Linked DNA regions of Ovis aries. The protein of the gene in region 5 interacts with the protein of the main gene of each other region in a pairwise test. Links are inferred from orthologs where the notes say so. Each region holds a gene or a part of one and is shown on either strand. Other genes may lie near its edges.

Region 1 (4,374 bases), on a different chromosome or scaffold from region 5:
AATGAGATGGTTAGATGGCATCACAGACTCAAGGGACATGAGTTTGAGCAAACACCAGGAGATGAAGAACAGGGAAGCCTGGCAAGTTGCAGCCCATGCGACTGCAGTCAGAAATGACTTAGGGACAGAACAAAAGCCTTGCTGTTAATCTGCCTACTTAGATGCTTCAGGAAAAACCACCTGAATATTCCACTGTACAATTCTAATAACGGTATTTGAACTCAAGTCATTTTGGAGTGGCAGTTATCTACTTACCCTTACCAATCAAACCACTTAAATCCTGCTACAGCAAGATGATTTCTGACGAATCAAGACATTAAGCTTATTCAAAGAAGCTGTAAACGCCTCCCTCCCTCCACCCCCATCTCTCTTTTTTTGCCAATTAAAGTGTTCTGGCAAATTCTAAGCCAACTAAGAGTGACTCAGGAGGAAATCCTGCATGCTTGCTCTTTTACACTAAAATGATTCTGGTGCACGATAGCTGCGAGCTCGTGGTGTTTCCTTGTTAAGAGCTGTGATTTCTTTTTTTGTTCTGGAAGGAGAAGCAGCCAAGGACTCCTGAGAAATAAGTCTGCAACCCCACGGACCGACCCAGCCACGAACCTGCTGGTAATCAAAACCGCACACCCAGTTAAAGCACTTTCTCCTCTTCCCTCCCTGACCAATGTGCATTCCCCACAGAGCTCCAGGATGCTTGGGCACGCTGCAGAACAGATCACACCACTGCCCCTGGACTCTCACTGTTCCTCCCATTCTGTTTCCTTCCCCAAATTAAAAGGCGTCTCAAAGAACAGGTGAGGGTCAGTTCTCACATCAAGAAAGGAGGCGCGGAGCGAGGGCTTGCGCTCCAAAAACACATCCCCTTTTAAACCTAATTCAAAATAAGGTTACTGCATTCGGCTTCCCAATAAACAACCTTTACCTGCTTGGAATCACGGCTCCTTTGGGGGTCAGGAGCTCTGGAGCGCGGGGGAGGGAATGAGACAGGGAAGAGGCGGGGAGCGAGCGCCCCCGCCGTGCCTGCAGCCAACCTGGCTCCCTGCCCGCCACGGCCCTGCGACCCCACGGCCGGCCGCCACGACTGGGCAAAGGTCGCCTTTGACCGTTCAAAAGGGAATTTTCTCTGACCCCACACGAGGGCGGGCGTCCGGCCCGACTGCGCACGACGCCCGGGAAGCGGACGTCAGCGGGCCCCGGGTTTCCAGACCCTTCGGCGGCGCCCGTGACCGCGCGGCCCGCGGCCGCCGTCGGCCAATCGGTGCCCGCCGGGGGAGGGACCGGCGCCGTGAGCCCCGCCTTCGCCCTGCCTCCAATTATATAAATACGGGTGCCGGCGGTCCGGTCTCCCCAGAGCGGCGTTCCCAGGTGGAGGGAGATAATGCAAAGTGCTATGTTCCTGGCTGTCCAGCACGACTGCGGACCCATGGACAAAGGCGCTGGCACCGGCCCCAAGAACGAGGAGAAGCGAGAGAAGATGAAGCGAACCCTGTGAGTGCGGCTTTCTTCCTCCCTGACTGGCCGCCCCTGCGGACCCAGCTGTCCCGGGCGGCTGCAAACGCGGTACACTCGCGCTGGGCATGGGAACTGGGTAGCCTGCCTGCATCTCTGCAGGAAAAAAAGAAAAAGAAAAAATGTGTGTGTGTGTGTAAAAGGTTAATTTGTGAAGTTACGTTTAAACCTGTGTGGTGTAGGTATTTATTGAAGGACTCGGGTAGAGTTTAGAAACTGCAGAAAATTCTTGATGCAGGGGCGGAGATAGATGCTGGTTGGCTTTTTGTCTCCCTGCATCGAAAATGACTTCGGAGAATCCTGCAGCCACGCGCCCCCGGCCTTCTTGAGAGGCACCGTAAATTCTGATCTGCTTACACGACTGCTGGGATGGAGATATTTTTGCTGATCCTAGATATACTTTTAATTTTTTTTAATTGAACAGCAAGTCTCACCCACTCAAGAGTGTGGAACAAATAATTGTTCTGCATCACCTTCTTAAAATGAGTGCTGAAGTTGGGGGAGGGGGCGGTCAATCTCGCACACACACTTCATTGTGCACAGCTTCTCGGGTGGTCCCAAGCCCCCTGCTCTGAGAGCAGAAGGAAAACGAGCCTGGGCTGGCTCAGGGCAGGTCCACTGTGGGCTTCCTCAAGTGTGAAATGTCTCAGAATTGTAATTAACCGTTGCAGAAAAACTGGCTGCCTTTTGTGGGCCAGAAATAGCATCTGCCTTTGAACTATGCAAACTAAATTCATTAAAATACCCTATAATTGTAGGTCGTCCTATCCTTACTTATAAAACTAATAATTATGTTCAGATGAGTGGATGAAACTAGTGTGTTGAGTACTTAGATGCTGGATTAAAGGAGTAAGACTGACTGGAGGAGTTGTTTTGTCTTATTTGGCTTGTCTATAGCTACTGGGGGCGACTTTATTTGGTAAAAATGCCTTCAGCTGCAATGGCAGTTTCAAGTGTTGCTGCTAAGTGAGTATCTTTTTTTTTTTTCTTTTGTAGATTAAAAGATTGGAAGAGCCGTTTGAGCTACTTCTTGCAAAATTCCTCCTCTCCTGGGAAGCCCAAAACTGGCAAGAAAAGCAAACAGCAAACCTTCATCAAGTAAGTTGAAAATCTTGTGCTTGCCAATATGCACAGCTCACTGCTGAGCTGAAGAGGGAACCTCTGGCTAGCAGGAGCTGATGTGCAGACTTCTTTTGCAGGCCTTCTCCCGAGGAAGCCCAGCTATGGTCAGAAGCATTTGATGAGCTGCTAGCCAGTAAATGTAAGTTAACCTCTTGAATTGGATCCATTTCAAGTATCAGGAGAGTATGGTTTGGTTGTGTCTACACAGCAAGAGCAGCTTGCCCAAGGAGAGTTTGACTTTACAATCCCTGTTCCATGGGGCCTATTTTTCTCCTTTATTTCCCGGTGATTAACCAGGGAAATGCGTGGCTTTTTCACTCTAGGTGGGGAGTGGGGGGAAATAGCCCCAGATTGTAATGGCAGTTGCTGTCTCTTAAGGTTGAGTCAGCTTTTCCATTGCAAACAATGTTTTCAAGCGGCTTCATTCCCAAAGAACTTATGGCTCCCCTATCAGTTGTGTTAACAGCAAAGCTAAGTTTATATTTTTGTAGTAGTGTGCCAACTCACGCATTTTGCTGACTGGCATCTTAGTCTTTAAAGAGCTAAATTTTGACAATTACAGGTTTGAGTAAACTCAAGAAAATTGCTGCCATCTGGCAATAATAAAATATGGGACCAGGGGAGTGGGATTTCTAGGAAAACACATAAGGGAATATTTGAACACTCAATGCAGTTTCTGCATGCTTTCTTCCTTCCCTCCCCCAGATGGTCTTGCTGCATTCAGGGCTTTTTTAAAATCTGAATACTGTGAAGAAAATATTGAATTCTGGCTGGCCTGTGAAGACTTCAAAAAAACCAAGTCACCCCAAAAGCTGTCCTCAAAAGCAAAGAAAATATATACTGACTTCATAGAAAAAGAAGCTCCAAAAGAGGTAAAGGGGGAAAAAGTTCCTTATTTCAGCATATTTTGAACATCCTCAGCACCAAAGTGAAAATAATTTAAAGAGACCTCAAGTTAAAGGGGGGTGGGTGAGTAGGCTGTTTTTCCCCTATTTCTGGCTCTCAGTGAGGTTAATTATATTTCTTCACTGACTTAGCCGGTGACACTGGCCACACATTATAGTTTGGGGGTTTTTTTGTTTGTTTTCAAATACTACATATATTTCAACTTCTGACTCTTAATGTGGAATAAAACTTTGTTGTTTTCTTTCAGATCAACATAGACTTTCAAACCAAAACTCTGATTGCCCAAAACATACAGGAAGCTACCAGTGGCTGCTTCACAACTGCCCAGAAAAGGGTGTACAGCTTGATGGAAAACAACTCTTACCCGCGTTTCTTGGAGTCAGAATTCTACCAGGACTTGTGTAAAAAGCCGCAGATCACCACAGAACCCCATGCCACATGAGATGAAAGCAGGAGCCCAGAAACGGAGGACTTTTCATTTTTTTTCCTAAAAGGGGAAAGGCTGTCACCTGCCAAAAAGACTGACCTTGAATTCAGCCTGGGTGTTCAGGAAACATCACTCAGAACTATTGATTCAGAGCTGGGTAGTGAATCAGGAAGCTGGTCGCCTCGTAGGAGAAGCTGGTACTGGGTCGGCTTCCGTAACTGATGGAGCACAGAGAGAGAGAGTGTGGTCTAAATGTGGTGTGTCTCATGCTGGAAAAGCAGGAGCTTGAGACTGAAAGATAACGATGTAACACTATTGGTCCAGAAGCATTTACAATCAATAGGTCTGGGATTATGTGGCCTTAGCTAGCTGGCTGTACATCTTTCCCTAATCAGTCCTTGTTACCACAT
Region 2 (2,929 bases), on a different chromosome or scaffold from region 5:
GCGTGATTTGGCCCCAGTGATAGTAGCTCTGGTCCTGTGTTACTGCTGGTGTTGGGGCAGCTGTGCTGCTGTTCCCAGATGGGCTTCCCCCGCCGCACCATCAGATGGAGGGTGAACTTCGAGTCTTCCAGGACCAGATCTCCCGGGCTGATGAACGCAGAGGCAGTGGGCATCGACTGGCCTACGAGAGTCACTTCCTCCTGCTCGGCAGAGTCTGGAGTGGGCTGGAGGCAGTCTGCTCACGTGGTGACTCAGCGCAGCTCGTCAAGGGCCTTAGGAGCTGCTCCGAGGGGATGCTGTCTGCGCAAGGGCACCCGCCTCTAACAGGCAGGCTGGCTGGTTCCAATGCGCTCACTGCCACACTGAGAGCTGCTGCACAGCTGCTTTATTTAAGTCATATTCCTTTGTTATTTTATGTTTTAGGAAACTTTTAATTTTTATATAATCTCAAAAATACAGAAAAGTCGTAAGAATGGTACATAGAATCCTTGTGTATGTTTCATCCAGGTTTACTGTCAGCACTGACTCAAGTGCTTCACTCGTGTGTCCCCCCACGGCAGTGTATGTGCCTGTACACACAGACACACACACACACACTCTGTCTCTGAGCCATTTGACAATAAGTTGCAGGTAATATGCCCCATTGCTTGTGACTACGCTAGTGTGTGTTTCCTAAAACAAGGACATTCTCATAAATAACCACGGTGCAGTTATAAAAATCAGTAAGTTCAGCATCAGTACAGTGCTGTTACCACTGTCCATATTCACATTCTGTCCAAAGCAGATACGGTCCGCGTGACAGCAGAGCTTCATTTTTATGAGGACTTCCCTGAGGCCTGTGGCGCCTCCTGGTGGTGGTGCTCGGGGCGAGCAGAGCCGGCGGGCGCCTGGGGAGTGCCTGCCCCGGGCGCCACATCCCCTGCTCCCGTGTCTCTGCAGGACCAGAGGCGTGAGAGCAGCCGCCATGTCAGCGGAGCTGGAGGCCTCAGAGGGGTTGGATGAGCCAGAGAGAAGGATCTCCGGGGCCCCAGAGGAGGAGAACCACACCAGGTGAGCGGTGGCGGCCGTGGTGCAGTCAGGTCGCGCTGCCAGGCCCCGGGGTGCTCCGCGCCCGCCGCCTCCTCCTCACCCTCGCCCCCGCCCCACGTAGGGAGGCAGGACAGGCACTGCTCCGAGCGCCTAGTGGTGGGATTTGATGGTGCTCCTGGCCGTTTCTTCTTCCTGGAATTCTGAGCGTTTTGTCATCTGGGTTGAGAAAGGGTAATCAGAGGCAAAGCTGGCACCTTTCCAGTGTCTCCCATCCCTCAGATGTGGGAGCAGCTCTTAACTCCAGGGCTTTCCTTATTGGGTTGGGGGCAATTCACCTGAAGCCTCCAGCCACCCAGGCCTGCTCTTCATCATTGTCAGCCTCTCCTTATAGCCCTGTCATTGGCAAAGTTCTCTTTTTACATCTTGGAATAATTGCTGAAAATAAACTGTTGGCAGCACGTGAGTGGTACGAGCCAGTCTCCTAAAGAGGCCAGCAGAGACTGGCCGTGAGAGGCCAAGCTTTCCTCGCTCTGGTCAACGACTGTGGATGGCGCAGGAGCCCCTGCCCAGCACCTGCTCTGCCTTGTCTGGCGCTGGCATCTGTCACGTAATTTTGTTCAGCAGCACAGGCCTTGGTCCTGGCTCGTGCCTCCCCAGCCTTGCTCTCACTCCCTCCTCCTGTGCCGGGTCCCAGGCTCATGTCCTCTTCAGGGGCTGTGGGTCCAAGGTGGGAGGAAGGCAGCTGGGCCACCCTAGGAGCTGCATGGTCAGTTCTTCTCAGGGGTGTGGATCCTGGGAGACACGTTCCCCAGAGTCATCTGTTCCCTGAAGTCATACACTGGTAGGGTTAGCGGTGTGTGTTTCTTCAGGTGGGCACAGAAGCCAAGCATCACTCATTTGGGTGCTTCAGAGAGACCCAGGCACGATGGAGGAGTGTGTCAGAGTCATCCAGAGTGTCGCCCGAGTCCTGGGAGCAGACCCACATCTGTCTGTGCTTTGCTCCCTGCTGAGAGGCTGGAATCACGTTTCTGAGCAGCCTCTGCCTCGAGCTTGGTGAGTGGTCAGCCTGGAGTCGGAAGGCTAACTCACACATGGTCTCTCCGTAGCATGGCAGACCTTTCCGAGCTCCTGAAGGAAGGGACCAAGGAATCACATGACCGGGCGGAAAACACCCAGTTTGTCAAGGACTTCTTGAAAGGCAACATCAGGAAGGAGCTATTTAAGGTTTGTGCCCTCAGTTGTGAACTGGGTCGGGTTGGGGGCCCTTAGTCCCACAGTGCCTACCCCCCCAGCCTTCCTCCACGTGCCATGTTTTCTCAGCATCAGGCTGTGGTTTCATGTCTTAAAAGGAATAAGGTAGTAATGTAAAGGGAGTGGTCCGTGTTCCAGAGAATTCGTGTCATTCCTTTAAGAAACAAACGCTTCCTGCGCACGTGAAACATCTCACTGTATGAAAGTGGGGAGTGGAGGGGGTGCTCAGGAGTGTGGGCAGTGGGCTTGGGAGTTGCTGGCCCAGGCCCTGGCCCTCTCCCATGGTCTCCCCATCACCCCTGGCAGCTGGCCACCACCGCGCTGTACTTCACGTACTCGGCCTTGGAGGAGGAGATCGACCGGAACAAGGACCACCCAGCCTTTGCCCCCTTGTACTTCCCCATGGAGCTACACCGGAAGAAGGCGCTGATCAGGGACATGGAGTATCTCTATGGCGAGCACTGGGAGGAGCAGGCGCAGTGCTCCGAGGCCACCCGGAAGTACGTGGAGCGGATCCACGAGGTGGGGCAGAACGAACCAGAGCTGCTGGTGGCCCACGCCTACACCCGCTACATGGGGGACCTCTCGGGGGGCCAGGTGCTGAAGAAGGTGGCCCAGCGGGCCCTGAAACTCCCCAGTACGGGGGAAG
Region 3 (4,599 bases), on a different chromosome or scaffold from region 5:
GGAGACATAGGTTCAATCCCTGATCCACGAAGATCCCACCTGTGCTGGGGCAACTAAGCCTGTGCACCGCAGCTACTGAGCCTGTGCTCTAGCCCAGGAGCTGGAACTCAAAGCCCGTGGTCTGCAACAAGAGGAGCCACCACAACGACGTGCACCACAACTGGAGAGGAGTCCCCGTTCACCACCATTGGAGACAAGCCCCTGCAGCAATGAAGACACAGCACAGCCAAAAACAAATAAATAAATGGTAAAATTAAAAAAAAAAAAAAAAACTGAAGGAACTATCGGGATGAGCAAACTCTGCTTTCTGATACCGCCCATCCTCTTGCCTCAGGCAGAGACCCAGATTTCTCTGACAGGAATGATGAACAGCACCGCGCACTCCCGCCCTCCTGATGCCTGTGAAAGAAAGTGAAAGTGAAGTCGCTCAGTCGTGTCTTGTGACCCCATGTGACTCTTGTGACCCCATGGACTGTAGCCCACCAGGCTCCTCTGTCCATGGGATCTTCCAGGCAAGAATACTGGAGTGGGTTGCCATTTCCTTCTCCAGGGGACCTTCCCGACCCAGGGATCGAACCCGGGTCTCCGTCATTGTAGGCAGACGCTTTTACCGCCTGACCCGCAGGGAAGTCCCTGACGCCTGTGCTGCGGGGCCAACAGCGGCTGTGCAGTAGGGTGGCCCTGGGCCGGGGGCCTGGAAGCGCAGGGAGATGGTGCCGACCACACAGCAGCGTCCGGGGAAGGCCGCGACACTGCGACACTCCTCCGAGGGATGAGGGGGTTCCCTTAACCCCCGAACCCCTCTCTCACCCTCTTCCACTTCTCTTGAAACAGAAGCCGCCTGCGTTTCGGTCCGGGGCCCCACGACCCGCCCACCTCGCCGTGTGGCTCGCCCCCGCCCTGCTTCCTGCTGCCAGAGCAGCCCCGCCAGGGCTGCAGCTCCTCGGAGGACTTTGCTGACCACTCCCCGCCCTGCTGGGGCCACTGTTACAGCGTCGCTCTCAGTGACAGCTATTCATGTCTGTTTACGGGCCTTCTTTATTTTACTGTTTATGTTTTTTGTGGCTGCGACGGGTGTTTGTTGCTGCACATGGGCTTTCTCTACCTGTGGCCAGCAAGGGCTATTCTCTAGTTGCAGCCACAGGCCTCTCGCTGCGGAGGCTTCTTCTGTTGCAGGGTTCAGGGTCTAGGCTCCGCGCCTTCAGCAGTTGCCTACTGTGGGCTCTGCTGCCCAGGCACGTGGGATCTTCCCAGACCAGGGATCCAACCCGTGTCCCCTGTGTTGGCAGGCAAGTTCTTAACTGCTGGGCCTCCAGGGAAGCCCCCTGTTTTCCCACTGTTCCCGCCCCACTAGCAGGTGGTTCCCTTGAGTAGCAGGTACGTTCCCTTGAGTAGCGTCCCTTCATCCAGAGCAGTGCCTGCAACCTCTCCAGTATCTTGCCTTAAGAATCCCAGGGACAGAGGAGCTGGCGAGCTACAGTCCATGGGGTCGCAAGAGTCGGACACGACTGAGCGACTAACCCGCCACCACCACCTGCAACCTAGTAGGTCCTGAGTGGGTCTCGTCCAGGCGGTACTCCAAGCGCCCGCGCCCCACCCACAGCGCGCACAGCCCCCGCCCCGCGGAACTCTGCGACGCAGACTTGTTTCCCTCGGAGCGTATTCGGCGTGGGACCCCAGCCCTCCTTGGTCCCAGCGGGAGCGCATGGCGGTAAGCGGTGTACAGGTGGGGAACGCCTTTGGGCGGTCGGCGGCTCCTCATGACCTTCGTCCTTTCCCCCTTTCCCCAGGCTCCAGGACATCCTGCTCGGGAGACAGCGGCAGCCCCAGGCCCAGGTACTGCCCGTGCACCCTGCAGCCCCTGGTTCCCCAGGCTGCTTCCTAAAGCCCCGAGTCCTTTCACTGTAAGGCCTCAGCCAGTCCGTCTGCTTAGGGCGCCCTACGTGCCGTGACTCTGCCTCGAGGACCAAGAAGCAAAAGAAGAAAATCCAGGATGGGTCGTCTGTTGCCAATGGAAGCGGGAAGACCCCAGAAAAACAGGCCTCCGAGGAAGCCCCCCTAAGCGCAGAGGCCCAGGCAAGGGCGGGCCTCAGTCGGGAAGGGTGAAGTCCCGGGCACGTACTGGGCGGGAGCCCGCCTGTGGGTGTAGTCCTGGATTTACAGCGGGAAGTGGGTGAGATGCGGCGTTTGGGGTTCCTATGGGATGAGGCTGGAGGCCCCAGCGCCCTGACGCCCGCTTACAGTCACTAACCACAATCCATCATAGGCTGAGCAGCTGGCTCGGGAACTGGCCTGGTGCGTGGAAAAGCTGGAGCTGGGACTGAAGATGCAGAGACCCACCCCTAAGCAGAGTGAGGGCCCATCTGTAGATGGGGGAGGGAAACGGTGACAGTCCTATGGCCTCAGGTGCTGCCAAGGGATGGAATTGTTGCCTTTGCGGTAGGACAGTTGGAAGTGAGGATAAAGGTTACTAGTCCTTTGTTTTCATTTGCAGAAGAACAAGCTCTTGGAGCAATCCGAACCTTGCGCAGCCAGAGAACCCCCCTGCCCCGGAAGAGGCAGCTGATGCGCTCTTTGTTTGGGGACTACAGGGCTCAGATAGAAGCCGAGTGGCGCGAGGCCCTGCAGGCTCTCAGGACTGGTGAGAAGCTGAGAACTGGTTGATGAAGAACTGCCTAGTTCAAGGGGGCAGAAGGAAAAGCCTGGGCAGTGAAAGGGGGAAGCCTCTAGCAGCGGGACTCCCACAGTAGGAGGGGAGTCAGGAAAGCCGCGGGGAGAAAGCCTGAGGCGCGGGTCACAGAACGCCGGCTTGGACTAGGGAGGCAAGGAGAGCAGCGTTAGTGAATCTCTGATTCTTAAGGGTGTGAGATGATAGTACTTACCTTATAATTTTGAGAAGCCAGTAAGTTAATTTTTACAATGAGTTTAGAGTTGTATGGGCAGTTAATGTTTGCTGCTGCTACTGCTGCTAAGTCACTTCAGTCGTGTCTGACTCTATGTGACCCCAGAGACGGCAGCCTACGAGGCTCCCTCATCCCTGCGATTCTCCAGGCAAGAACACTGGAGTGGGGTGCCACTGCTATTATTATTAAATTCTGATACTGTCCCTCTCTTCGCTTACAGCTGCCCACTCAGCCCAGGTGCAGCCTGTAGGTGAGGCTGCCAGAAAAAAGAGCCGAAGGGTCTGCAGACCTCGACCAGAAGGAAGGTCCAAGGGCACCTCGGATACTCGTGATGAAGAGTTTAGGTTTAATTTCTTTTAGCCTCTTCCCTAGAGTGGCCACCTCTGCAGTGGGGCAGGGTTTCTCTGGAGTGCAGCACTTTTCCAGGAATGCTGTGGGGGGCAGATGGGAGACCTGCATGTTGGGTGCTGACAAGCCCAGGACCCCATTTCTAGGTTTTCAGCTGAGATGTCCCTCCTGCCAGAATAGGGAGTTCCTTTAGATGGTTCTACAGTAGACTGAAGTGAGTGTTCACACTGTGTTGTAAAACAGCTGTCCCCAGCCTTTTTGACACCAGGGACAGATTTCATGAAAAACAGTTTTTCCCCAGAGAGGGTGGGAGATGAAACTCAGGTTGTAATGCAAGCAATGGGGAGTGGATATAAATACAGATGACTCTTTCCTTGTTCGCTGTCTTCATCTCCTGCTGTGTGGCCTGGTTCCTAACAGGCCATAGACCAGTACTGGCCCAGGGGTTAGGGACCCCTGTTATAAGACTCTCAACAGTCTCAGGAGCAGACTAAGTAGGTATTGTTAATAAGGGTTAGTGGGGAAGCTGTATAGTTGTACACTGGTGCTCACTTATGGAGGGATGTCCTCTCAAGTGGTATGGCGCTCCATACCATTGAGTCCCATTGCTGTAATAAAACTGTTTCTTATAAATGTGGATAAGCAAAAGCGTGTGCTAACTGTGCTGTTACGGGAAATGTAGACGAGGTGGTGTCAGGCGCTGCTGGGTCCAGGCTCTCACCCCAGGGCTTGGTCCTTTGTATCGCCTTCATTCCTGAGCAGGTGTCATCCTCAAGGAGCCAGTGTATCCCCCAGCAGCCCAGGCTTTGTTCTGAGGAGCAGGTAGCTTCTTGCCCTAAGAATCCTAGCCAAACACCAGCATTGAATCTCTGGGCAAGCTCTGATGTCAGCTGCTCCAGGTGATAGTCCCAGGACTTCTGCATTAAGTCGGGTTTTCACGGTGGCTTAATTATCTTGTGACTGTGATGCCATCTTTGGTAGTGTCTCCCAAACTTGCAGACTAGACAGAGACCCAGAGCCCATCTGCCTACTCAGCATCTCTGCTTTGGTGTCTCACAGATATTTCACACTTGACATGTTCACATCTGATTAGTCCCTAAATCTATCTGCTGCTTTCCAGTGAATTCCACTACTGCCCACCTAGTTGATTAGGCCCAAAATCTGTCATCTCTGCAAAAGGAGTTCCTGGATCCAGTTCCAAAGAGTGAGTGAGTGTGTCTGTGTGTGTGTGCGCACCTTGGCTTCCTCACACCAACAGCAATTCTTGGATGTCGGCAGCATGTCCAAAATTCAACTCAGTTATGATGCTATCTACCCAGACAGAGTCAGATTCCACAGGAAAGTGCTC
Region 4 (3,879 bases), on a different chromosome or scaffold from region 5:
AGCCCAGTGCCGTGGGCCCCTCGGCAGGGCGTCTGCAGTGCCCATGCCCGGCTGCAGGACAGGCTCCTGCGCGCGGGCCCCACTGCCCGTGGACCGGATGAGGCCTGTGGGGCTGCGGAGGTGGCCGGGCCCGTGTGGTGCTCTCGGCGCCTGGCCTCTGCCCGGGTGTCAGGAGTCCGAGCCTTGTGGCCTCAGAGCCGCCCTGCTGCTCAGGGCCCTGCTCCTCGGGGCCCTGGCCCTGACCCGAGAGACGCTCCCTGCAGACTCGCTCGGCCTCCACAGCTCTGGTGGCTATTATTCGAGGGGCTCGCTCCACGGCCCAGTTCTGGTTCCGCTCCCTGCCTCACGCCCTCTGTCCCAGAGCAGGCGGGCTGGTGCTCTTCTCTGTGTTGTGGGCAGTGCTTGGCGCAGCTGCTGACGGACAGTCTGGTGGCGGATGGCCAGGCGCAGTCTCGCACAGTCCCTCCGGCTCCAGTCGCCTGTATTTGCCTTTGGATGCGGAACTCGCCCCGTGTTTCTCTAAGGCACATCTCTGCTTCCTTTCTATAAACAGCATCATTTAAAATAGCCACCGTGGACCCTCGTTGTTGTTTTTTTTTTATCACACGTATGATGTTTTTGTGTCTTGCTGTTTATATTTAGAGTAACTCATCAGATGAAATGTTTTTGTTCTGGTTTGCAGCCCTGTACCTTTTTGCTGGCTCATTTCTTGGTTATAGTATTACAATTTCTTACTCAAGGTAGAGGCTTTTGTATTATATATGCCTTTGGTACAAGCAAGAGAGTTTGCTTTACAAAGACAGTTCCTCTGCATTGTCTAAAATTGTTTAATATTTACTTTAATAATGGTACCTCCTTTACTAGAAAAGCACTGACTGTTTTTGTTGGGGGGTCTTTTTTAGGGAAAGCTACCAACGACAGGAATGACAGTCACAAAGCTTGAGGACAGTGAAAATCACAGGAACGCGTTTGAAATATCAGGTGATAGGCGCGGGCTCTGTGGGTGCCCTCTGTCCGGGTGCCGAGGCCATGGCCCTCGTGTGCGGGCCCCGCTGAGCCCCCGAGGGCTGCATGGGCGTGCTGTGGGGCCTCCTTGGGGTGCACATGTGTGCGCTCTGACGCCCTCCAGCCCGTGCCTGTCTCCTCCAGGCAGCATGATCGAGCGGATCTTGGTGTCCTGCAACAACCAGCAGGACCTCCACGAGTGGGTGGACCGCCTGCAGAAGCAGACGAAGGCCGCCTCGGCAGGAAACCCCAGCAGCAAGCCTCACTCGGTGCCCTCGCACACCGTAAGGGCCCCGCCCCGCCCCCGCCCGCAGACCCCGGGCCAGGAGAGCGCCGCTGGGCCTCGGGCCTCTCTGCAGACGCGTCCTCATCCCCCGTGGGCCGCGATCGCCTCACGGGGACCCACTTGTGAGCCAGGCCTGCCTGTCTGCCTCTCGAGAGTTCACACACACACACACGCACATAGTTCACCGGTTAGGCGCCCGTCGGCACCCGCTTAGGCAGCTGCCCTGCCCAGGGTGGGCCGCGAACACTACCTCAGGGCTTGTGAGGGTCTCTCCTGGGACTTCTCCCACATGGTTCACCCTGGGGTCGCTGCCCTTGGGCTTGAAGGGCCGTCCCAGGGACGGTGGTCATGGCATGGTGTACTGGTCACTGCTGCAGCCTCTTACTCCATTTCTCAGCAGTTTGGGGGAAAAGCTATTCATTTGCTTCAACTATCATTTTGAATGGTTTTGCCATGACAGCTTTTCCATATTGTAAATGTATTCTAGAGATACTTAGCTTTCATGGGACTAAATTTATCCCAAGGGCATCGGTGTGTACATGTGTGTCATCCACAGGGAGTCCCTTCTCACTCAGGTGGTAACAGCCTTAAACCAACCTCTACAGACTCCCACCTCAGGGAGCCATGTGCCAGGACCCTGGCCTTTCTGGTCCCAGGGCAGCTGTGTGGTCATGGCAGAGTCCGCTGCTTCTGTCCTCGAGCCCTAAGCCTCAGCTTGAGCCCAGGCTCCCCTTTAAGCCTGTGTTTCAAATATTATTCATTTCTTCTGAATAATGACCTTACTCTGGTTTCCAGCTCACAGAACAACTCAACTTTTTTTCCTGTTAAGCATACTGTATTGTTTTGGGTTAATTCGAGGTCACTGGCTACTTTTGAATTGTTTAAAGTTCTAATTTGTCATTGTGATCGAATACTTTTGGAGTTTCTAGGAGCATAAACCCCATTAATAAGGTCCTTCTGAGAAATTAAATTTATGTAACCTGGTCTTGATTAAAGCTGATTTTTCTGAGAAAATGTTTTACCCAAGGGATTGGTAAAATTTTTCTTCAAAAACACAGTAAATATTTTTTTTTGGTTTTTAAGCACTATGGTCTCTGTTGCAATTGTATTTTGCTTTTATAATATAAAAGCAACCATTGACACGAATAGGCCTGATTGTGTCCCAGGAAAAAAAATTTTTTTTTAACAAAAACAGGGATCAGGCTCTACTTTTGCTGGCGAGGTAATAATTATGCTCCCCCAGTCACATTCCCAGGGCAGAGAATGCCCATTCTTTTATAAAATCCTGATATCTGTGTTAAATGAAATGCCTTTTTTGCAAACGTGACTGCTTCGCAGTTAAAGGCGGTCAGTGGGTTTCCGGGTCTGGACCCAGCAACCTGCTGCTTCCCGCCCTGAGCTCAGCAGGCCTCACGCAGGGTGTGGGGGATGCTCGGCCTGACGGCCAGTAACCTGAGCGTCGGGACATTCAGGATGCACGCTAGCAAGTGGGCGCTGCTGTGCTGGGAGGGCTGGGCTGGCCTCGGGTCCTCTGGCGGTGAACGCGCTCTGCTCTCTCCCTCTGTCCCTGGCAGCTCCCCTCCCACTCCATCACCCCGTCCAGCAAGCACGCGGACAGCAAGCCCGCGCCGCTGACGCCCGCCTACCACACGCTGCCCCACCCCTCCCACCATGGCACTCCACACACCACCATCAACTGGGGGCCCCTGGAGCCTCCGAAGACCCCTAAGCCCTGGAGCCTGAGCTGCCTGCGACCAGCACCCCCTCTGCGGCCCTCGGCTGCCCTCTGCTACAAGGAGGTGAGCCCTAGTGAGTGTGGAAATGTGACAGCCCTGTGTTTGTGTCTGTGACATGGAGCCGATGAGCCTCTTCAGAATGGAAGGCTCTGCCTTCTCTCCCTTGTTACCCTTCCTGTGCTCCAGAGCCCCAGAGTCCTGGGGAGACCCCCTCTGTGCCCATAACAGGGAGAGGGACAGGCTCGGGGCACTGTTTGCGCTTTGAGGAAGCCGGTTGACGACTGTGGTGATCACACGAGCGTGCTTGAGTGTGAGCCGAGTTCAGTTGCTCTGGTGTGGTTGTGGCTATGAGTGTGGGGGGTGTGGCTCGGGCGGTGGGCTGGGTGGGATGTGGGTGAGGCTGTGAGCATGGTGGGTGGGACAATGAGCTTGGTGGGCGGGACAATGAGCCTGGTGGGCGGGGCCTGTTCGTGAGCCTGGTGAGGCGCTTTTGCACCAGTTTGCATCTCAGAGAGGCCACATTTGACGAAGGACCTGGGCAGACCCTGCCTCCATCCTTGCTGGAGGAATTTTATGGTACATGGGGGAGTACAACATAAATTACAGTTAATCCTGTATGGGTTTTGTTAGTGAACTTCGGTTCTTAGGACATGTTTCTTCCTGGTGGCCCATTTTGGCATCCTCGCTGCTTAGCTCAGTGTGGTGGAGTGCAGCCACGCCCTGCTGCGGGTTCTTACAGGGGAGGGGGGAGTAGGGTACAGGAGAGAGAGGCTTGGCGGGTGTGGCCGTGGACATGTCCAGTGTGCTGGGCACACAGGCCGCCTGGTCACGGAGCAGGCGTCCTGGGGCAAG
Region 5 (4,617 bases):
CCCAGCCTGCGCGCTCCAGCTGCCACGTGCTCGAGACGCGCCCACACAGCAGAGAAACAAAGACAGCCAAGCAATGGGGCTGCCAGCAGCCGCCTCGACATTTAATAAATGAAATTCCATAGCTGGGGGTCGATCAGGGGTGAACGGGCGGCCACAGCTCGTGGGCTGGGCGCCCAGTAAGAGCGGCCAGGCCACTCCTCCCATCACCAGGGATGGGGCCACCAACCCCACGGACTGACTCCTCGGTGAGGGTGCGGCACGGGGCGGCAGGTGGTGCTCCCCACAACCCCACCCCACCCCGCGAGGTATCTGTGCTCGCAGAAACCCTGCCAGATGAGCGGCTGGCTATGGGGGGAGGGGATGCCTGCAAGATTTTTTTTAAAGGTGCGATTATAAATACACCCTGTGGATCGCAATCTCAAACAAACTTGTCAATCTGGGCTGCAGGGAAAGGCGATGGAGGCAGCTTTGCATATATTTCGGGTGGAGTGACTCATGAGCATTACTCGTCTCCCCCAGGGAAGCAGCCTGCCACCCACAAGTCACTGCTGCTCTGGCACCGCCGGGATAAAATGAGCCAACTCCAACACCCCTGCCCAAGGACTCCCCTCCAGCCCCCTTGCTTTTGAGCAGGACTCCTGGCCATGGGGAACCCTCCCCTAACCTGGGGAACCTGCCTTAATCGTGTCACCACTACCCTGGCCCTTGTGCCTGGACACCCTCGCCCTCTCCCAACAAACAGAGCGCTGGCCTTTTGCTGCTGCAGGGATGGGGGTTGGGTGCACGTGGGGCACACGTGTATGGGGGAGCATGCTCAGTGCAGGGGTGCACCCATGTGAGGCCTGCGCCTCCTCTCCCTGTCACCCCCACCCCTCCAATGAGTCTCTCCGTGAAGTCCAGGAAGAAAGACCACCACAGAAAGGATCCCTATATGTTATATGTCCACGCCCTAGACACACACTTCTGGTGGCTCAGAAATACCGTTGATGTACACAACACTGATACCAAGTGGATATTTCTGCACACAGGCACAGTGTTCACTCCTCAGGAGGTCTTCAAAAAAAAAAAAAAAAACCTGTCCATTCTTTTCTCTCTGGATGAAAGCATGGAGGACGGATAGATATCTTTTTAGCCCAGAGACTGGGGGATTCACTGCATGACCTCTGGTACCTGGCCGTCCATATTGTTGGCGGTGGGCTAGTCAGCAAGAGTGTGACCACACACACACACCTGGACACACAAATGTGGATACACGGGAGGACCGGAACGCACAATTCAACCCAAACAGACAAGCGGGTACCTCGAACCACAGCCCCTGGATAAGGGGGGCCCGGGGCCTCCAGCTCCTCACTCTTCTCAGATGCCCAAGGGTCACTGTCCCTGGGCCCGAGCTCCTCAGGCCACCCTCAGCCTCGAAAATGAAGGGGACGAGGCTGTGAGGCGAACTCGCAGCGTCTTGGCGGCAGGGGCGCACCTAGGCCCGGGCCGCAGGCGGCGCTGCGCGCTCGGGCCTGGCGGTGGCGGCCCCTTTAAGGGCCCCCGCCCCCTTCCGCCCGCGCTCCCGGCTTCCTTTCTCCGGGAGGAGCGGCGGGCTGGGCCCGGCGGCGGGGCGGGTGTGCGGGCCGCCCCTCCCCCGGTGGGCCGGGCCTGCGCCGCTTCCTGCAGGAGCGGCCCGGAGCCGCGCAGGGGGCGGAGAGAGCGAGCGGCGGCGGGGCGGCGCGGGGCGGCGCGGGGCGGAGGGCGCCCGAGGGCGAGCGGGCGGGCGGGCACGGCGGGTTCCGGGCCAGCCCCGGGGGCGGACGGTTGGCCGGGCGCGCGGAGCCTAGCCGGGGCCTTGCCGGAGCCGGGCCGGGCAGCAGGGGCCGCCGCCGCCCGGGCCCGCCGCCCGCGCCCCCCACGCTGGCCCAGAGGGCTGCGGCCGCGTCGCCGCTGAGGATGTCCCGGAAGGGGCCGCGAGCGGAGGTGTGTGCGGACTGCAGCGCCCCGGGTAAGCGGGGCCGGGCCGGGGGCGGGACCGCGCACCGAGGCGCCGCCGGGCGGGCGCCGGGGCCTGGCGGGCGCGCCGTGCGGGGCCGGAGGGCGGGGCGGGGCTGGGGGCTGCGGCCTCCGGTCTCGGCCCCCGCCCGGGCCGCTGCGGAGCCGCGTCCTTGGAGGGAGGGCCGCTCAGGGGGCCGCGGTTTGCTCGCGTCCGTGGACCAGCGAGGAAGGACATTCCCGGCGCCGCCTCCCGCCCCTCAGCTGGCGCCCCCCCCCCGCCGCCCCCCCCGCCTTCCATCTCTGGGTCCAAACGGAAGCGCCAGCCTAGGGTGGCCAGGAGGACTGTGGCGGAGGCCGGCCGGGCTTCGGAGGTGGGGGCGAGTGTGGTTTTGTGTCATCGCAGGGCCACCCCCGCGTCTTGCACCTGCTGCTCTCCTGGTCTGCGCGCCCGCAGGGGTGGCGGAGGGCAAGGGGCAGAAAGCCGGGCAGATGGGCCGGCGTGGGGTGGGGGTTGTCTGGATTCTGTTTTCTCGGGAGCAGACGGCGGGGTGGCTGCTCCTAGGACTCCCTGCCCCTGGCTCCCAAGGCTCCTCGCAAGGCCTGGTGTTCAGAGCCACCACAAGCTTGGGCATCGTCCCCTGAGGCGTCCCCAGGCCTGGTAACGGGACAACGAGCCTCAGCTTTTCCTGTGCTCCAGTAAGGCCTGCTTGGAAGGTGGCTTGGCCATACCCCAGCCTGGGCACAGACCTCTCTCCCTGTCCCCTAGCCCAGCCTTACCAGAAATGGGTAGGGAGCATGTGGAGGGGTGCCTACATTCCCGGGACCCACCTGGCTTTGTGGCCTGCCTCCCGGCTGTATTTTCCGTGCTGTTTCCCTTCTTCCCACCAAGTCAGGTCCAGGCTGATGTGAAACCCCCCTGACCTGCCAAAGAGGTGAGGAGAAATGACCCGGAAAGGCTGCTCCCTTCTGATGTGGGGGGACACTACCAGTGATCGGACTCTGCAGCTGCCTTGGGGAAAGGGGAAGCCCTGGCCCTTGACCATCCTCTCTTTAGAAAAGGAGCTATCTCCCTGGGAGACCTCCGGGCAGGCTCAAGGGGGATCCATGAACTCCAGGAGGACTCTGGGCACAATTAAGTGGAGAGTGTGGGCTGCTGTTTTGTGGCCCATCACTTCCTGCTACCCTTTGGACAGGCCCAGGGCTTCCCTGGTGGCTCAGTGGTAAAGTATCCACCTGCCAATGCAAGAGACCTAGGTTCAATCCCAGGGTCGGAAAGATCGCCTGGAGAAGGAAACGGCAACCCCCTCCAGTATTCTTGTCTAGGAAGTCTCATGGAGAGAGGAGCCTGGCGGGCTACAGTCCATGGGGTTGCAGAAGAGTCGAACACAACTGAGAGAGGACCCCAATAGGTTGAGACCCACAGATGCGCTGGTGGTTTCAGTGGCTCCAAGCTTGAGTGTTTGGGCACTGTGGGATCCCAGGAGGTGCATGGTGGTCTGGGTGGCTGTGACCCTGAGGCCTCCTCTCAGGGCATGTCATGGTCTCTTAGAGGTCCCTGAGGAAGCTGTGTGTCCAGGGATGTGGGGTGTCCTTACCTCTGGTTAGTTAGAAACTACTATTTCCTTACCCCCAACTGCAGGCAGGTCTGGGGGATTAAGCGCTAAGAGGAGAGCTTGCCTTCTGTGTGTTGGTCCAAGGCTGTTCTGCCCCTCTGCCGGGCTGCCCCTCTGCCCCGCGGAAGGAGGGAAGGAGCATTGGTGGGTTGGGAAGGTGTGGCTGGGAGGGGGTTGCTTAACAGACACTTTATCATGGAAACCTGGATTTTTGTGTTGCCTTTGTTTCTAGCTTACTCTCTGACTCATGGCAAGAGTTTTCTCATGCTGAGTCTCAGTTTCCTCAACTCTGAGGCCAAGAAGTTGGAGTAGGAATGGTTTTTGAGGACCATCCCATCTCCAGTCTGCGGTCCTGATTCTGGGCAGGGGGACGCAGGGCAGCGTTAACAAGGCAGTTGTCCTTTCTCCATTGCCTTTGACTACTTGATTGGAAGCCTCTGGATGCCCGTTGGGCATGGGCAGGAGTGGTGTGTCTCTCATGTGTTGGGGTGCCTGGCTCCTATCCCTGGTCCTCATCCCACAGAGTCCTGTGTGCTCCTGGGAACCTCCCCACCCCCACCCCACCCCCGGGCCCCGATCCAGAAAGCAGGTCAGGAGGAGGCAGGTGCTGAGGTGAGGATGTGAGGCGTGCAGGGTGCCGATAAAGTCTTGCTCACCCCAGCACCCAGCATGGTTTCTAGCACAGAGCAGGCATTCCCCCAAGGGATTGGAGGCTTCTCAAGACCCTGACTTCTCCTTGGGGCATTTTTCAGTCTGGGACCTGTAACAGCCCAGGTAAGAGGCTGGAGAGAAACTAGCAGTTTGGAGCCCAGGCCCAAAGCCCCCTCATTGGTGTGTGGTTCCTACCTGAAGTCGTAGGCCTCTCACTGTATTCGGAGCCCTGCAGACCCAGCCCTGGGAGCGGGGTTGTTGTCTCTTTGTGAGTGGTGAATTTGCGGGGTCTTGAGGTAAAAGGTGAGATGAGCCTGACGCCAAAGAGCCCCATCCTCCTCCCAGGCCTGGGTGCATGAGACAAATCTTGAGTGTG
Region 6 (3,879 bases), on a different chromosome or scaffold from region 5:
GACCTCAGCTTGACTTCTCAGGCTTCATTTTTCCTCCCAGGTCTTTGGAGGCTGTGTTCCTGACCTCCTACAGCTAAACACAACCACTTTTGTGTAGTGCCCACATACTGAGGCCGACTCAGGGTGAGATCTTTTGTCAGTCTTATCACAGTCACTGGAGGAGACAGCATTACTTCCATTTTATAGACAAGGAAACAAATCAGGTAGATTAAATGATTTGCCCAAAGCAGTGCGCTAAGTGGCAGAGCCAGGAGTCAAAATTTTCTAAACTCCGTGCACTGTGTCATGCCATCCATCCCTAATGAAGCATCAGACAGAAACCACTGGCAGGGAATGTTATCAAGATCTGCACTTTACTCCATTTTTATAGAGAGTTTATTAATGTTTGTGGCAAATGGCAAAGGAAAGTCCAAAGCAGAGAACATCCATGCTTTACAGAGCTGTAGGGGTCATCTGGTTCAGTGGTTCCCACACTTTTGGATTTCACAGACAAGCTAAAAAGAAAATACTGCATAGACACACACACACACACACATACACACACGCGCACACACACACACACACATGCACACAGAAGGGTACTAACATAGTACTGCCGACTTTCATTCTACAAAATGAAATAGTAAAGATAATTACCATTTCCTATCATAACCATTCTATCAAAGAAAGGATATTTTAACATCCCTAAAGTTGGAAAGATATGCTCTGAGAATTAAGATAGGTCCTGCTTCTAAAGGACAGTTGGCATCATTATATATGTGTGTGTGTGTATGAGTGTGCATACACACATTTCTGAGTGCCTCCCCCATACACATAACATTATCACTATTATTCTAATTTTTCTGTGGAACAGGGAACATTCCATCAGGGATCAGCATCAATTAAAGGTTCTGTGTTTGAGAACTACTGACTTAGACCTTCCTGACATTGGATATATTTTTATAGTTTTATATAGTTTATAAAACTATAGTTTTATAGTTTCATATTCCACTAACGGACTTGCCTCCTTTCCTTGCAAACTGCTTTTGTTAAACTAGGGAGTTTTGTTACGTTAGGCCAGTTAACAAGACAGAAAATTGCTAAGCTGTAGTGGGATAGAACCAGCTATGCTCACAAGGTCTTGTATGTCCCTGCAATGCCCCCAAACACTGGGATACACCTGAGCATCGCCTTGTACCCTGGGTCACTGGATGGTGACTCAGGCAGTGCCCACACATGCCACCTGCTAGTCCTCTCTGGCTAACAGTGAGGCCCGATTTTGCCTGCCTCCCAGGATGATCCAGGAAGAGAAGGAGTCCACAGAGCTCCGTGCTGAGGAGCTGGAAACTCGAGTGACTAGTGGCAGCATGGAGGCCCTAGACCTGACCCAACTGCACAAACGAGGTTCCATCCCCACCTCTCTGACCGCCCTGTCCCTGGCCAGTGCATCCCCTCCACTCAGCGGCCGTGCCACACCTAAGCTTACCTCCCGAAGTGCTGCCCAGGACCTGGACCGGATGGGGGTCATGACCTTGGTGAGAGACTCGGAGCAGTTGATGAACAACCTTGTCATCACTAGACTCTGCTTCAGGGTTGACCGAGGGGGGTTGACTGCAGGGCTCACTGTCAGTTGGGGCACAGCATTTTCTTCTTATGATGTGTATAGACCTTGACATGCCAGGTTACCAGCACAGCCTTCTGGGTTTGGAAAGAGCTACGTGGTTACTTTCTTGCCCTCTCCCCTTGGGTAATGCTTAAGAAATTCACCCAGCGCCCACACGTCTTTCTCTCTTTCAGAGGAAGCCCTGATTTATTTTTTTTCAAGCCAGTGTTTTGTTGGTTTGTTTTGCTGTGATATTCTCTTCAGGCCTATATAAGGCGCTGAGTTCTATCTTCTCATCCTAAGACCACTGGGTTCCCCTTAGGGTAGATGTTCAAGCATCCAAAAGGTGAGTCCAAGCTCACCTGTCACTCTCTTTTCCAGCCCAGTGACTTAAGAAAGCATAGGAGGAAGCTGCTGGTGAGTGCTGCCTGATGACCCAGGTACTAACAGGTTAATTTTCCCCCGCCTTTCCCTTTCAACTTCTCCCCCACGGGCCCTTGAGTCTGAGTCTGAGCTCTGAGAGGTCCCGGCAGGGCCTCCCCTCCGCCGCTCTCTACGCCCCTCCGCCTGTCTGGGCTGGGTCAGCAAGCCCCCGATCGCTCTCTCTACCCCCTGACGGCTCCACTGTCTGTTCAGTCACCAGTGTCTTGGGAAGAGAACCGAGAGGATAAAGCCACCATAAAATGTGAGACTTCTCCTCCTTCCTCACCCAGGACACTGCAGCTAGAAAAGCTTGGCCACCCAGCCCTGAGCCAGGAAGAAGGCAAGAGGTAAATGGAGCAGACCCCATCTCAAGCCTCTCCCTCCCCGAGTTTACCTCATCCCTCTCTGCCTCTGAACAGGCTGAATCTCACCTATCCCAGGTGTCTGAACATCTCACTTCTCTTTGAAACACCATGAGAGAAGGACATTTCCATGTCTCTTTTGGTCCCATGCTCTGATCATGCCCCCTTACCCTTTCAACTCTGACACTTACTGTGAGTTCTTCCTGAAACCTAGCTCCTGTCTCTCATGCTGTAATTTACATCTGTTTCTTTTCACCCCACCCCGTCCTGGCTGTCATCCTGTAGTGCTTTGGAGGATCCAGGCAGCAACCCCAGCAGCAGCAACAGCAGCCAGGACTCCTTGCACAAGGGTGCCAAGCGCAAGGGCATCAAATCATCCATTGGCCGCCTGTTTGGGAAGAAGGAGAAAGGCAGGCTGATCCAGCCAAGCCGGGATGGACCCACAGGCCATGGTCTCTGTCTAACCCTAGTAAATGGGTGTGAGTAGGGGAGAAGCAGGAGGGTGTCCTTGGATCCAGCCTTCTCTGCCAGGGACCAGCGGGCAGAAGCCACAGACACCGAGATTCCGCTCCAGAGAAGCAGTTTTCTGTCAGAGCTGTTTCACAGCTGGAAGGGCTGCTTCATGAGGTGGTAGTTCCTGCCATGAGAAGTGTCAGGCATCAGATGAATGGCTGTTTATTTGGTATACTGTAGAAGGGCTTCCTGTATCAAGTGTGAGGTTGGACCTCTGAGCTTTCTTCCAGTTTGGAGGTTTTCTAGTATACTGTGCTCAGGACTTTCAGGAGAAATTTCTTGGGCTTTTTTTTCTCCTAGGAGAGTCACTTGTTAATTCCTAGTATATCTTGCCTCCAAGACTCAAAATATCCTAATGCCTAGTCATAACTTGGTAGACACTGTAGTCAAGTAAGTACTTGGGCAAGGGTAGCATTATTAACACCTCTATGATCATATAAAGTTCCAGTGTGTGCTTGGCATGTGCTAGGTGCACCGTAAATGTTAGCTGTCTTCCTGTCCCTTCCCCTGTTTCTTCTTTCCTTTCTTCCTTTCCCTCCCTTCCTCCTTTTGTTGCCCTCATCTATCCAGTTATTTGCTCAACAGACATTTATTAACTACTGTAGTAAGCAAGGCTTCATAGAGCAGTAGTCATTCCTTCAAGGAGTTCAGTTTCTAATGAAACAGAAAAAGATGATTCCAAAACAATATTAAGGTAGCAATATGCTTCTGGAATTCAGAGGTCAGTTATGAAGCAGTGGGAGTGATGAGAGTGACTTTCTCTGCTGGGCAACACCTGGGCAGAAGCTTGAAGGCTAAGTGGGAATTAGCCAAGAAGAAGCATTTGTGTGTGAGAGGGGGAGGGTGGGTATGAGAGTTTTGTACATAGTTGAATCTTTTCACAGTGGGGAGGGAAGGGTGTGGGAGAAACGGAAGAGGTGGGTTTAGATCCTGGGCTGGGGCTAGCTCATAAAGGCCTTGTAAAGTACATTATGGAGCCAGCCACAGACGGGAGGGGCC
Region 7 (4,520 bases), on a different chromosome or scaffold from region 5:
TTTTTAAGACAGATAGTGTCATGTGTCTTGAAAAAGGAACAGAAGTAGTCTTGAAATTCCAAGGAGAGATTATTTATGGTCTGTGTGATGTAAAAAATAAAAAAAATACATAATGGATACATATTATGTGTCTGCTGCTTGCTGTATCTTGAAAGACAAATATAACAATGCTAACTACATGAACTTAATTATACCTTTTTATTGTGTGCCTACTGTGTGCATTGTGCTATGCTTGGAGCTTTCCATCCTGATCTTGTTTACTCCTCAGAATAACTCTGTTAGGTCAGTACTGTTATTCTCATATTAAATGAGGAGACAGACTCTGTTGATACACAACTAGTAAATGGAAGCAGACATACCTACGCTCAGTGTAGACCAAACCTTGAATACAGATTTGTTTAGTTCCAAACTCCCTGCCCTTTCCCCTGCCTCACAGGTTTTTAGAGTAAGGAAGATATCCATTTCTTTCATGTCCATCCTTCTAGTCATCCTTCTGGTTCAAATGCCAGCTATTTTACAGCAGATTTTCAAAATGTGGTTTGCAGTCCACTTAGATCAGATCATAAAAGGAGTTTGCAAAAGTATGTATTTCTGTGCCCCATATCAAAGATTCTAAGTAAGTTTGGGATGAGGATCAGAGAATCTGCATTTTTTTTTTCTTTTAAAAAGAAATTTGGTTTCTCGTGAGAACTCCTGTGTCTACAAGGTCTTCTGAGAACATTCAGTATAAATAAGTTCTTTGGGAAAACGCTTCAACTAAGCCTTCTGGACACGGCTGAGCGACTGAACTGAACTGAAGCCTTCTGGTCTTCTCCATGCTGCCATGTCTGAAACTCAGGCTGATTCTTTCTCATCCCTCCCTGACAGCACAGGACTCGCTGAAGGCATGAATGACTTTAAAGGTTTTAGCTTGATCTACATACATCTTAATTTAGCGACACAAACTAAACTATTTGTCGAAGTGGTTAAAACCACACACGAGGGGACGGAGGCGGGAGGGGGGTTCAGGATGGGGAACACGTGTACACCCGTGGCGGATTCATGTTGATGTATGGCAAAACCAATACAATATTGTAATTAGTCTCCAATTAAAATAAATAAATTTATATTAAAAAAACACACACACGAAATCTGCAGATTGTGCCGTGTTTGGAAGGATGTGGAGAATCACGGCAGGCCCATAGGTCACGTGGGGAAGACGTACTCTGAATCGGAATCCCGGTTATTTCAGGCGTTAATAACGACGGGGAAGGTAGGAAAACCAAGCAGCCCCACTCATGCGCAGGCGCAGAAGGAAGAGGCCCTATCAAATCTTCAGGGCGCGCCCTTCCCCCACGCTCTTTCCGGGCTTCTCCCACTGCGCAGGCGCAGTAGTGAAGCAAGATGGCGGCCCCCGTGGATCTGGAGTTGAAGAAGGTAAAAGAGGGTCTTGAGCAGGCAGAAGCTTTTCTTTGGAAGCTAAGGCGACTGTGGACAATAATGTCGAGTGAGTCTCGAGTGCTGCGGAAGGAAAGAGGCCCCAGGGAAATGGGGAGTGGTTTCTCAGAGTGCAAAGGCGGGACCGGGCCTCCTTAGGCGGGAGTCGAGGGCGAGCGGCTCTTTGCCGGGTAAGAGCCGGTTGGGCTGGGCCTGGTTAAGTTTGGCGGGCCTATAGCTGTTTTGTTCCCTTGTTCCGAGCTCCAGAGACCTTTCGTTGCTCTTGGTGCCTTCAGTTCCATAGTGAGGCCTGAAATGAGCGCTTCCAGTTGGAGCCTCTTAGCCTGCTTGCCCGAGCTGTAGCATCTGTAATTCTGTATACTAATTTGCTTTGAAAAACTCCAAGTCCAGTCTGTTTTTAGGTCAGTTCTTTAATCCCATATCTTGTAAGGTCGCTTCATACAGTTCAGTCAGGTATCCTCGTAGCAATGTTCATCTTAGGGCTTTGCCAACAACCGCCCCCTCCCCACCCTCGTTTTTAAAGATTTGTCAAAGAAGAAACAAGTCAAAGGTTTCCAGATCAAATTGGTATCAGAAGGAATTGAGTTTCTCTCTTCAAACAATTGCCTAGAAATGTGTTGTTACACAGAAATGTTTTCACCACCTGAGAGTTGTCAGGATTCTAACACCACTACCGACTCAAAAGCGTATCCTTTTTTTTTTTTTTTTTTTTGCGAAGAGAAGGAGAATGGGGATTGGAAAGGAGCCTAGACTTCATCTACTTTAAACTGATACTTTTCTAGAAAAGGAAACAGTTTAACAGAAGAGTCAGCCCAAGCTTGGTTCTAGAATATTGCATTCTCTGCCTCACTTTCCACCTTTTGACCACTACTTGAGGTTAGAAGAGCAAATTTTGTTTAAGACTGTCTTGTAATCTATCTTTGCATGAGAAATAAGACAGTTGAAGTAGCTCTTCCACGTAATAGATGAAGCAGTGTATTATTGCTCTGAGGATTTGTGTGTGTGTATTGCCTTTTGTTTGGAACTTGTACCTTTACTCCTTATGGTGCTGTCTAGTGCTGTATTATCTCAGCTTTAACAAAATACTAGCTTCCTTACCAAACTGTGTCTTAAAGTGTTTTAAAAGTTTACCTTTTTTTTCCGTTAAAAGTTCAAATTTAAGTTAGGGTTTAGTGAGAGCTAACAATAGAATACAGCTATGAATGGACTTACCCCTCAGTATTATTTCAGTCTGTTGCTGGGAAACCTGTGGACAGTGAATGCAAACTAAGAAGATAATTACAGACTTAAATTGGGTAGTTTTGTCAACCAATAAAATTACAGAAGAAACTTGTTTAAAGGTCTTTTAATGTTTATAATTTTGGGGGGAGGGGAAGGGATGGAGACTAATAGGAAACTTTAGGTACCTCCTCTCCCCTCTAGATAAACCTTTTGAAACCTTACTAGTAGGTGAGAACAAAGTCAGAATAAAAGTTAGTAGCTTTTTGCCATGTATTGCAGCCACAGATGTTATTATTAAGTCAGAATTTGACAGCATGTGAAAATCATTCTAGGCACTTCAGAAGTATCAAAAACCTTTTAACAGTACTCAGAGGTCAAGTTTGGCTTATCGTGTGCATATGAAGATCATGATGCAATTCTTTTATCAATGCTTTGAATTTTTTTGTGTGTCTTTCTCTTAAAATATTCATTTTCTGAATATTACTGTGGATAGTAGAGTAGAAAGATTCAGTAACTAGCGGTCAGAAGTTAATTAAGTACTTGGTTTTTGACCTAGTAGTTGCTCAGCCCTGTGAAAGTCATTTATATCTCTTTAAAACATTTAGTTAATTTGTAAACTGTGCTGATGAATCTGCCATCCTTAACTCAGGATTATTGAAAAGAGAAAATGAGACATTTATTATATGTCAGTATTCTCATATTAATATTCACATGTTAATATTTCAAACAAGTGTGGGAAAGTGCTTTAAATAATCTTGAGTAGTACAGATGTGGTGAGTTGTTACATTAATGGTTCCTGATTTGGGTCTCTGGGTTTGTGATTGTTGCCTTTAGAGCTTTTATTAATCCTTGGGTACCTGCTACTTGATATGGTTGTTATTTACCGTGCCTTTGTTCAGCTTCTTCAGATAGGTTGCATCTTCTGAGGACTGGGTAAGTTCAGTACAGTTGACTCTTGAACAGCATTGGTTTAAACGTCAGGGATCCAGTTGTACACAGATTTTTAAAATAGTAAATACTAGAGTACTACATGATATGTAGTTGGTTGAATCAACAAATGTAGAACCAGGGATACAAAGGAACTGCTATATGGAGAGTCAACTATAAATTATACTTGGATTTTCAACTGCACAGAGGGTCAGTGCTTCTAATCACTGAATTGTTCAGGGCTCAAGTTTTTAGCAGACTGGCTTTGAGATGTTTGCTGTGGTAAATTTCACGGCTTTGTCTGTTTAACAGGCTTCATTTTAATAGATTTGATATAGACATTTACTGTAAAATGTTGCACCTACTAAATCAAGGACTTATTTCTTTTTAGGCCTTCACAGAGCTTCAAGCCAAAGTTATTGACACTCAACAGAAGGTGAAGCTTGCAGATGTACAGATTGAACAGCTGAACAGAACGAAAAAGCATGCACATCTTACAGATACAGAGATTATGACTTTGGTAGATGAGACTAACATGTATGAAGGTGTAGGAAGAATGTAAGTAAAGTATATCCTTAAGGGGGTTATCCTGAAAGAAGTTTACCTGAATTAAGTCATAGAATTTGTTCACTTTACAACTTGGGTTAAAGTATCATAGTAGCTTTAAAGAACACTAGGTCAAATATCTTTTTTCTTTTAAATGAGAAACTGAGTTCTAGGTAAATGTGTTTAATCTTAAACTTTGAAGTACATTTTAAAAATATTTATTCCAAGTTCTTCTCTCCATACTTAGGTACTTATGTGTGTAGCTTGAATGGTAAAAATATGATTTGTTGTGAAAAGATGTTTATAGTGGTTTTGTGTGTGAAGATTTTTTTAAGTAGTTATAGTTTTAACCTCCTCTTCCCAACCTAATTATTAGTAGTCACACAAGT

What was found.
Region 1: the proteins of GIT1 (region 5) and RGS2 interact in a two-hybrid assay, tested with the Homo sapiens proteins (2 studies listed by BioGRID and IntAct). The link is inferred for Ovis aries from reciprocal best matches to the Homo sapiens genes GIT1 and RGS2.
Region 2: the proteins of GIT1 (region 5) and HMOX2 interact in a two-hybrid assay, tested with the Homo sapiens proteins (2 studies listed by BioGRID and IntAct). The link is inferred for Ovis aries from reciprocal best matches to the Homo sapiens genes GIT1 and HMOX2.
Region 3: the proteins of GIT1 (region 5) and C9H8orf33 interact in a two-hybrid assay, tested with the Homo sapiens proteins (2 studies listed by BioGRID and IntAct). The link is inferred for Ovis aries from reciprocal best matches to the Homo sapiens genes GIT1 and C8orf33.
Region 4: the proteins of GIT1 (region 5) and ARHGEF7 interact in binary tests that used the Homo sapiens proteins (3 or more experiments, as listed by UniProt). The link is inferred for Ovis aries from reciprocal best matches to the Homo sapiens genes GIT1 and ARHGEF7.
Region 6: the proteins of GIT1 (region 5) and PPFIA4 interact in a two-hybrid assay, tested with the Homo sapiens proteins (2 studies listed by BioGRID). The link is inferred for Ovis aries from reciprocal best matches to the Homo sapiens genes GIT1 and PPFIA4.
Region 7: the proteins of GIT1 (region 5) and PFDN1 interact in binary tests that used the Homo sapiens proteins (3 or more experiments, as listed by UniProt). The link is inferred for Ovis aries from reciprocal best matches to the Homo sapiens genes GIT1 and PFDN1.

Annotation. Positions count from the first base shown.
Region 1 is NC_056065.1:11,623,024-11,627,397, reverse strand, and holds the start of RGS2 (regulator of G-protein signaling 2), read left to right. Parts: upstream 1-1,349; 5' UTR 1,350-1,378; coding exon 1,379-1,488; intron 1,489-2,505; coding exon 2,506-2,607; intron 2,608-2,708; coding exon 2,709-2,770; intron 2,771-3,336; coding exon 3,337-3,503; intron 3,504-3,784; coding exon 3,785-3,979; 3' UTR 3,980-4,374. UniProt on the Homo sapiens protein: Regulates G protein-coupled receptor signaling cascades. Inhibits signal transduction by increasing the GTPase activity of G protein alpha subunits, thereby driving them into their inactive GDP-bound form.
Region 2 is NC_056077.1:4,217,852-4,220,780, forward strand, and holds part of HMOX2 (heme oxygenase 2), read left to right. Parts: intron 1-939; 5' UTR 940-964; coding exon 965-1,050; intron 1,051-2,135; coding exon 2,136-2,253; intron 2,254-2,586; coding exon 2,587-2,929.
Region 3 is NC_056062.1:13,261,589-13,266,187, forward strand, and holds the start of C9H8orf33 (UPF0488 protein C8orf33 homolog), read left to right. Parts: upstream 1-1,678; 5' UTR 1,679-1,705; coding exon 1,706-1,711; intron 1,712-1,790; coding exon 1,791-1,836; intron 1,837-1,933; coding exon 1,934-2,076; intron 2,077-2,266; coding exon 2,267-2,351; intron 2,352-2,494; coding exon 2,495-2,641; intron 2,642-3,123; coding exon 3,124-3,263; 3' UTR 3,264-4,599.
Region 4 is NC_056063.1:84,874,780-84,878,658, forward strand, and holds part of ARHGEF7 (rho guanine nucleotide exchange factor 7), read left to right. Parts: intron 1-902; coding exon 903-981; intron 982-1,149; coding exon 1,150-1,289; intron 1,290-2,865; coding exon 2,866-3,090; intron 3,091-3,879. UniProt on the Homo sapiens protein: Acts as a RAC1 guanine nucleotide exchange factor (GEF) and can induce membrane ruffling. Functions in cell migration, attachment and cell spreading. Promotes targeting of RAC1 to focal adhesions. May function as a positive regulator of apoptosis.
Region 5 is NC_056064.1:20,780,546-20,785,162, reverse strand, and holds the start of GIT1 (ARF GTPase-activating protein GIT1), read left to right. Parts: upstream 1-1,735; 5' UTR 1,736-1,935; coding exon 1,936-1,987; intron 1,988-2,010; exon of another isoform or gene 2,011-2,909; intron 2,910-4,617. UniProt on the Homo sapiens protein: GTPase-activating protein for ADP ribosylation factor family members, including ARF1.
Region 6 is NC_056065.1:561,472-565,350, forward strand, and holds part of PPFIA4 (liprin-alpha-4), read left to right. Parts: intron 1-1,273; coding exon 1,274-1,514; intron 1,515-1,963; coding exon 1,964-1,999; intron 2,000-2,218; coding exon 2,219-2,352; intron 2,353-2,652; coding exon 2,653-2,819; intron 2,820-3,879. UniProt on the Homo sapiens protein: May regulate the disassembly of focal adhesions. May localize receptor-like tyrosine phosphatases type 2A at specific sites on the plasma membrane, possibly regulating their interaction with the extracellular environment and their association with substrates.
Region 7 is NC_056058.1:49,169,945-49,174,464, reverse strand, and holds the start of PFDN1 (prefoldin subunit 1), read left to right. Parts: upstream 1-1,367; 5' UTR 1,368-1,383; coding exon 1,384-1,416; intron 1,417-3,976; coding exon 3,977-4,143; intron 4,144-4,520. UniProt on the Homo sapiens protein: Binds specifically to cytosolic chaperonin (c-CPN) and transfers target proteins to it. Binds to nascent polypeptide chain and promotes folding in an environment in which there are many competing pathways for nonnative proteins.